Linked DNA regions of Diceros bicornis minor. The protein of the gene in region 1 purifies or fractionates together with the protein of each later gene. This does not show direct contact. Links are inferred from orthologs where the notes say so. Each region holds a gene or a part of one and is shown in the gene's direction. Other genes may lie near its edges.

Evidence for each region.
Region 2: the proteins of GID4 (region 1) and RMND5A purify together in Homo sapiens (affinity purification with mass spectrometry; 4 studies listed by BioGRID and IntAct, counting the BioPlex papers as one, with this or other methods). This does not show direct contact. The link is inferred for Diceros bicornis minor from reciprocal best matches to the Homo sapiens genes GID4 and RMND5A.

The regions. Positions count from the first base shown.
Region 1 is NC_080757.1:1,437,425-1,441,329, forward strand, and holds the start of GID4 (glucose-induced degradation protein 4 homolog), read left to right. Parts: upstream 1-842; 5' UTR 843-1,005; coding exon 1,006-1,194; intron 1,195-3,905. Other genes in the region: ATPAF2 (ATP synthase mitochondrial F1 complex assembly factor 2), read right to left, coding at 238-370.
Region 2 is NC_080751.1:3,339,208-3,343,112, reverse strand, and holds the start of RMND5A (E3 ubiquitin-protein transferase RMND5A), read left to right. Parts: upstream 1-1,238; 5' UTR 1,239-1,419; coding exon 1,420-1,561; intron 1,562-3,905.

The DNA.
Region 1 (3,905 bases):
TTGAGAAAAGACGCACTTCCTAAATGTCAATTACTGACTCCGGCCGGGACGCGCTTTGTGCCCTGGGGTGGTCCCTGCTCTGGCCTGGGCTTCTCTTTCCCGATCTGTAACAGGATCCTGTTGACCTGCGTAACCTCATGAGCCCGACCCCTAACTCGGTTACCTCTGCCTGCACGGCCGAACCTCTCAGCCCGGCTCGCCCCTGGCCAAAAGGGAACGTGCCCTGGCCTCCCTCACCTGTCGGGGGTGCGTAGGCCCGGGCTTGGGGCGGGGGGGTTGGCCCCGGCCTCACGGAGGCGATGAGGCCACGCCGGGGCCCGTTCAGGAGGCGGCGCCCCTCGTCCCGCAGCCGGAGGCAGGTCCTCCACATCGCACCCGAGGGCCTGGGAGGACGACAGGCGCGAAACCTGAGAGCAGGAAACAGAGCGAAGGGATCCGCAGGCTCCGGCTGTACGGAAACCTCTCACTGCCTGCCCCAGAACCCTCAGCCTGCCCTGGACGCCGCCATCTTCCGCATGACACCAACGGCGCGCCGTCGCTCGCGCGCGCATCCTGCGCACACCCCCAGTCAATCAGCATCACAAACGCACCTCGCCCCGCCCCCTCCACGCCGCGTCTCGGGAAGAAGACTACAAGTCCCAGAGGGCCCCTCGCGCATCTCGCCACGTGTTTTCTACACCCGCCAATGGGTGGAAGCGCCGCGTGAGCCTGCTCCCGCCCCCCCGGCGCGCTCGAGCCAATTGGAGGGGGTGGTGTGTGTGCGAGGGCAAGTGGGGAGGGGGACTCGGCTCAGGACCAGGAGGCCCTGCTAGCAGGTCCCGGGGTCCCGGTGGCGGCCGGAGCGCTTGGTCCGCAGGCAGCGGGCGGGTGGTTCCCCCCTCCCGCCCCAGCCCCACGCGCGCGCGCGCGCCCCGGCCCCTCCCTCCCTGCCACCCTCCGCGGCTCCCGCGCGCCGGCGGCGGTTCCTCTCCCCTCCCCCCAGCCCTGGCTCCGGGGGACCCCGCGATGCCGGTCCGCACCGAGTGTCCCCCGCCGGCCGGTGCCTCGGCCGCCTCCGCGGCCTCGCTCATCCCGCCGCCGCCCATCAACACCCAGCAGCCCGGCGTGGCCACCAGCCTGCTTTACAGCGGCTCCAAGTTCCGCGGCCACCAGAAGAGCAAGGGGAACTCGTACGACGTAGAGGTGGTGCTGCAGGTGAGCGCCGGGCCGGGCCGGGCCCGAGGGCCTCCTCGCGGCGCTCGCGGGCCGTGCCCGCCCCCGGCTCCTCGAGCCCGCAGCCGCGGACCAGGCCCTCGCCACCGGGCCTCCCGCACCCGGCGCTTCACCCCCGGACCTGCCCAGCTGGTGTCTCACACGCTTCGAACCCCAACCCTGACCTGCCCCCTCACACCCGGAGCCTGTCGTGAGCAGCTCCTGGCAGACCCTGAACACTGTCCCAGACATGAAGCCCGTGACCGGCCCGCCTGGGATCCGGAAGCCCCTTATGACTCGCCACCCTCAGACCAGGGTCCTTCCTCTCCATGACCTGTCGCCCAAAGATCGGCCCTCCCTCGTTCCCTCTCAGATCTTGAGGAGCTCTCCACTGATTTCTCCTGACTCGGGACCCTCCCCATGGCTAGGCCCATGTCTGATTCTCCCAGACCTGAGACATGCCTCCTTGCCGCCTTTCCTCCCTCCCAGGAATCCTCAGGCTCTGGGGCCCTCCTCCTCCTCCTCCTAGGGTTTCGTCTTTGGGACGAAGCTTAATCAGCCCCCTCAGATCTGGGAGCACCCAACCCCCTTTAGCCCCTGAGAGCCCACAACCTACAACTGATTCCTGGCTCGTGCCCCCTCCCCCAACACCAGGCACTCACATCCTGGGTGCTGCTGGGAGAGCCTCCTCACAGTATGTTAGGTCTTGTGTCATGGGACCCCCTACTGCTCCAGTCTCTTCCTGGCTGGGACACCCAGGCCTCCTGCCCCAGGCTTCTCATACTCCTTACCCCTCTTTGGCCACTTCCAGTCTGCTCCCAGTCTCCCTGGCCTGCCTACCCAGATCTTCCCACCCCATGCCTTCGTCTTCCTCCTTTCTTGGCACCAGGGGACCCTCTTTCCCTGTTCTTAACCCTTACCTACACAGCCAGGCTTCCTGCCAGTCTCTGATACCCATGTACTGGAAATCTAACTCACCCAGTTTTAGTTCTCACATGGATAGTTCCTTCTCATGTCTATCCACCTCCCCCGATTTGACCTGGATCTCTGAGTGTCTGCTGCCAGCCCCTGATAGCTTTGGAACTACAGCTTCACCTGCCCTGGCCCTTTCCTGCACCTCATCCCTCTCATGCAAGTGGTAACACATTTGGCATTTTTTCCCCAGCCAAAGGAGATGGGCAGTGGTTAATGCTCCTTTTTCTCTCCCTTCCTTACAAAACTGTTCCTCCTTTCTACCTACCCTTGCCTGCCTTAGGACCCACTTCCCCCCTCCCTCTGCGCCTTTATCCTTAGCCTGACACCCCATCTCCTAGGCTGTTCCCAGAAGCCCGTCCTAACAGCTGTCCCCTTGAAAGGCCTTACAGAAGCTTTGAGGTCCTACTCTGCTGCCTTGCTGCTCCCATGTGAGGACAGAATGTAGGATGTGTCTTTTCCTTAGGCTTGCCCTTTGCTCTTTTGAAGTTTTAAATCTTAACGTCTCTTCTGAACAAGTAGATCTTCCACCCAAAAGACTGAGAGCATTTTCTTATTGCTAACTGCAGAGCATTGATCACCCTCTCTTTTCTTACTGTTTTGTTGGAATAAATATTTTTCTCTTTTTTTGACTGGGAAAACTACATCTTCATGTTAATTGTGTCTTTGGTCTATAAACTTACACTTCTGTTATGAGCCATGATATTTATTGTAAGTGAAAAACTATTGTGACTGAGGTATTTCTGTCTTCGTAATTGTAGGCCTCACGTGGTGATCCCCCATCCCTTTTGCTTAAAATGTGAGAATTTAGTATGAAAGTACAGGATTTTTTTTTTTTTTCAAGTAACTATAAAATTCTGCAAGTGAGATCCCTGGTGTGGTCGTGTTTGGAATGATCTTGAATTTGTGCCCATTGTTAAATTTGATGGTTTCTGATGTGGTTGGGGGACAACTGGCATGGTAGCTAAGTGTCAGAGAGAAGGCTGCTCTGGTTACTGTGGCAACTGCTGTCATTAGTGTGTTGTTTCTGAATTCCTGTCAGGTGCCAGTTTCCTTGTGAGCCAGTGGAAGCGGTGATTGAGTTGGTGCACGATTGCTATGTCTCAGGGCAGCCCAGAGCAGACACCTGGCGATGGCTGGAAGCCACTTGAGGAGGATGTCTGTGGCGGGTCGGGGGGTGGTCCTGCCCAGGAATGCTGCGCTGCATCTGGATTGGTGAGCTGTTTGTCAGTCATTGAAACAAGTCAGTGGCATGTGAATTGCCCCATCATCTGGTTTTTCAGCCAGGACTAGTTTCTTGGACTCTACCTTCCTAGAATACTTCTGCCTTTTATAACTCAGCCTCTTTCAAGCTTGCTTTTTTTCATATCAGCTTAATTGAGTTATAATTCACATACCGTAGAATTCACCCATTTAAGGAGTACAATTCAGTAGTTTTTAGTATATCCACACAGTTGTGAAACCATCACTGCAATCTAATTTTAGAACACTTTCATCACCCCGAAAAGAAATCTTATACCCCTTAGCCATCACCCCCCTCCAACCGTATGCAACCACTGATTTTTTTGTCCTAAGATTTGCTTATTCTGGACATTTCATGTAAATGGAATCATACAATATGTGACCTTTTGTGTCTAGCTTCTTTCACTGAGTATAATGTTTTTAAGGTTCAACCCATGTCACAGCATGTGTCAATGCTTCATTCCTTTTTATTGTTGCATAATAGTCCATTGTGTGGATAT
Region 2 (3,905 bases), on another chromosome or scaffold:
AGGGTAGTGAGGCTGAAGCTTAGTGAGCAAGGAGATACAGGCCACGGTGGAGGCGCCCCACCACGTCAGGGCAAGGCGTTACGCAAAGGGGGTAACTCGATCCGAGTCTATGGAGTAGGGCGCCTAAGAGGCAGGGGCCACGCAAGTTCTTTGCGTTCCGCGAAGCTGCCCGCACAAGGCACGGGGGTGAGGCAACCGGTCAGGAGAGGTTTCTGGCCCAGGGGCCAAAGGGCCAGGGCCACGGGGGGGTGGGGAGTGTGACCTCCGGGTGTTGCAAGCATCCAGGCTGCACTGACAGCCGCCCAGAACCCTTCCCGGCGCGCGCCAGCCAGCAGCTCCCTCAGCCCGCCCGAGTCACCCGCGCCTTTAACTCTCGTTGGCGACCCCCACAGCGGCACCACCCACTCCGCCTGGCCCGGCTGGGTTTTTCGTCCGGGGCAGCGAGTCAGTCTTCCAAAACTTCGGAATGACAGTACCCCCAGGAGTGATGGGGAGATCAAATAATTTACGGCTAGAGCGAAGTCCTATGGAAAACAGACCCTTGTACTTCTGTCTCGTTTTCCCTCACGTGTTTCCAGAAATGACTTGCTTCCCTATATGCTCTCTAAGGCACCCCTCCAACAGCGAGACTATTGGTTTGGCCCCTCGTTCCGGATTGGCTGAAGGTTTACGCCTCGGCCAGGGATTGGAGAACGTCGGTGCCTTACTATTCCCCGCGCCCATTGGCTCATTTTCCCAGTTTCGGGGCGGAGCGTTTAGGGACTGTTTCCACCCTCTTGTTTACGGAGCGCGTAGTCGTAGGGCTCTCGGAGCGCTGGGGCTGTCTCCAAAGTTCCCTATTTAGCTCCTCGGGCCAATTGGGTCGTTGCTCCACCCTCACCCTCTCCCTTGCACGCCTCCCGCGTGGTACGGCCCACACCTTTAGAGCTGACGACCGTCGCGTTCCTCCGCCCGAGCTCGCCGTGCTGCTCCCCCTCGAGGGTGCTCTTGGTACGGCCCGCGCCGCCTCCTTCCCTCGCTGGGGTGGCTGCCCCCCCTCGGGTCGGCGGCGCTTGGTGCCGCCCGGGAGAACCAGGTCATCGGTCGGTTCCCGTGAAAACAAAAACAATCGGCGGCGCCGCCGCGGGCAGCTGAACGCGACGAGCAGGGGCCGGGAGCGCGGGGCCGGGGTGGGGGACGAGCGAGCAGGAGTGCGGCGACGCGTCGGGGGCCGGGGCGCCATGGGGCAGGCGGGCACGGGCTGTGCGGGGCTCCCTCGGCGCCGCGGCTAGCGCGCCTGCCGCCTCGGTCTCCTCAGCCGCCCGCGCCGCCCGCCTGGGGGACGAGGAGCAGGACGCGGCCTCGGCCGGGCCCGGGCCGAACGGCTGCGGACACCCGGGCGCCGGGGAGCCGAGCGCCGCCGCCGCCGCCGCCTCCGGGATGGATCAGTGCGTGACGGTGGAGCGCGAGCTGGAGAAGGTGCTGCACAAGTTCTCGGGCTACGGGCAGCTGTGCGAGCGCGGCCTGGAGGAGCTCATCGACTACACCGGCGGCCTCAAGCACGAGATCCTGCAGAGCCACGGTAGGGGCCCGGGTGGGCGCGCGGGGCAGGCCCACCGCCCGCGCCCGTCAGGCCACAGCGGGAGCATCCGGAGGGCCCGGACCCCCCCCCCCCCCCCGAGGCGCGGAGACCCCCCCCAGGCGCCTGTGACTTTTCCTCCTCTTTTCGCCCGATTTGCTTTGAACCTGCCCCGACCTCGTTAATTAAGAGCGAGCGCGAACCCACGCGGAAACCCGTCCCGGCGCCGCGGGCTCCAGCCGGGATAGACGTGCGTGGGGACCGGGCCGCCGCACCTGCATTCTCTGCTCTCCTGCACTGGGCGCCCCCCCTGGCCCCGCTCGGCCCCGGGGTCTCCCGGCGTCCCCGCGGGCGGGAGGTGCTCCACTTGCGTTGGACTCAGGGGTCTGTGTGATAAGAGCGTCAGTGCAGGAAGCCTCTTCATCCTCCCCTGCCGCATAATCCTTGGCTCGGAGACTGACTTTTACTCTTTTTTTCATAATTAGAAAGTCGAATGTTATTCTTAGCTGTGGGTTGACAGAACAGCCGCTCCTGCGACTTCATAGTTTGACTGCTGTCTGGAAGCAGCTCTTCTTCAGCTCCGCAGCAGCACTGACATGATTCCGAGGAAACTAGCTGGATCAGACTGTTCAGTTTGCCTAGCGTAGCTTGGGATGAGACTCAGGAAGAACAGGCAACTTTCCGGAAGCAAATTGTGGCACAAGTTGTTAGTTACTTCCTTTACCTGGTCAAGTTTTCACTTGTTTTCCTTTCAGAAAACCAATTTTCTATAGAAGGTGTTTTACCTAGATTATTTCATTGTTATCCTAAGCCCTGGGGGCAGATACTTTGCCAAAGTTAACTTGTGGAACCTGGATAGGAAGGGTTTTTGGTTTTGGTTTTTTAGATAACATTCACGGTCTGAGATCCTTAGATTAAAATATTCACAGTGATGATGCCTTCTGATCAAAAAGTAAAGGACTTTATTTAATAGATTTATTCAGGACGTTGGAGGGGCCTTCTAAGAAATTTATGAAGAGAAGGTTTGGTACCTGGGGTGAAATGCGGATCTTTGTGGCAGGTGAGATGAGGGCAGTGGTGCTAGCTGAGCTTGTCTCCTCTCCTCCTCCTACACCTTCCTCTCCCGCACTGCTGTCAGTGGCGAGGTAAGTGCTAGTCCATGGTAAGGGAGTCTAATAACGTCTCATTCCACACATGGCAGTCACTTTTAAGCTTTGGGGAAGAAGCAAACCATGGTGGCGGAAGGAGTTGAAATATTAACATGGTAAAATGAGCAGAGCTAGATGGCTGCCTGGGAAGGGGAAGTGCAAATGGGGTGGGAATCCTGGGAAAGCTCTGGTGAATTTGATTTTGGACATGGGAGATAAAACTGAAGGGCTGAAGAAGATAGAGTCAAGGGCTTAATCTTAGTTGGTTGCTGGAGATGCATAGATGGAGTTTGGGAGAAAAGTAAGGTCTAAGATGGTTTCCTGGTGTCATTTCTACAGAGGAGAGTGAAGGACATCACTTAGGCTGCAGGGAGGAAAGACTGTAGGGTCTTAGCACAATCTTGAACTCCTCTTGGAGGTGGAGGACCACCGAGGAGCCAGCAGAAACAGAAAAGGGCAGGGGCTTAGAAAAAGAGAGTGGTCAACTGGTATTTGGCTTTAGAGAGTCAGTGACCCTTTGTGCTTGCAGTTTCATAGAGTTGTTAAAATAAACTAGATTACTGGGAGTTGAGAAGAAAAATATGCAGACTGGGGTGTAAGAGGTGGAAGGTGTCCCTTCCCCCCATCCCCCCACTGGAGAGGAAATCTTTGTCTTGTTAAAGGTTGAAAGGAAGAGAATGAGTGAAGGGTGTAGACTTGGAGAGGTGGAAGGAACATTTCCTTTTTAGGGAACAGGTTAGAGATTGAGGGGTTGTATGCGCAGAGTTTGAGAGAGAGAAGACGGAAAGTAAAATAGCTTTCTTCCATGAGAGAGAGAGGGGATATTAATTGAAAGGGGATGTGATAGTGAGCCTCATTTTAGGGAATTTGGGGCCCATCTCAGATGGATAAAATAAATGCGAGAACGTGCTGAAGTAGGGATTTGTTTTAGACCTCTTTGCTTGGCACCTGGGAACTTTTCAAGGAATTTACGGTCTGGGGGTATTAGCCACACAGTAAGCCATGCTGTTCAAACAGTCTGACTAGGTGAATTGTATGTGTTCCCCTTTCAACCTCTTCTCTACCAAATTGCAGTCTTATACTGGTATCTTTTTGATTCTCTTTAATTCTTTAATAATAGGATTAAGTGACTAAAGGCAGTTACAAAACATGAAGGAAAAATAAATACCAGGAGTGCCAGGTCTATTTTCCAAAATAAA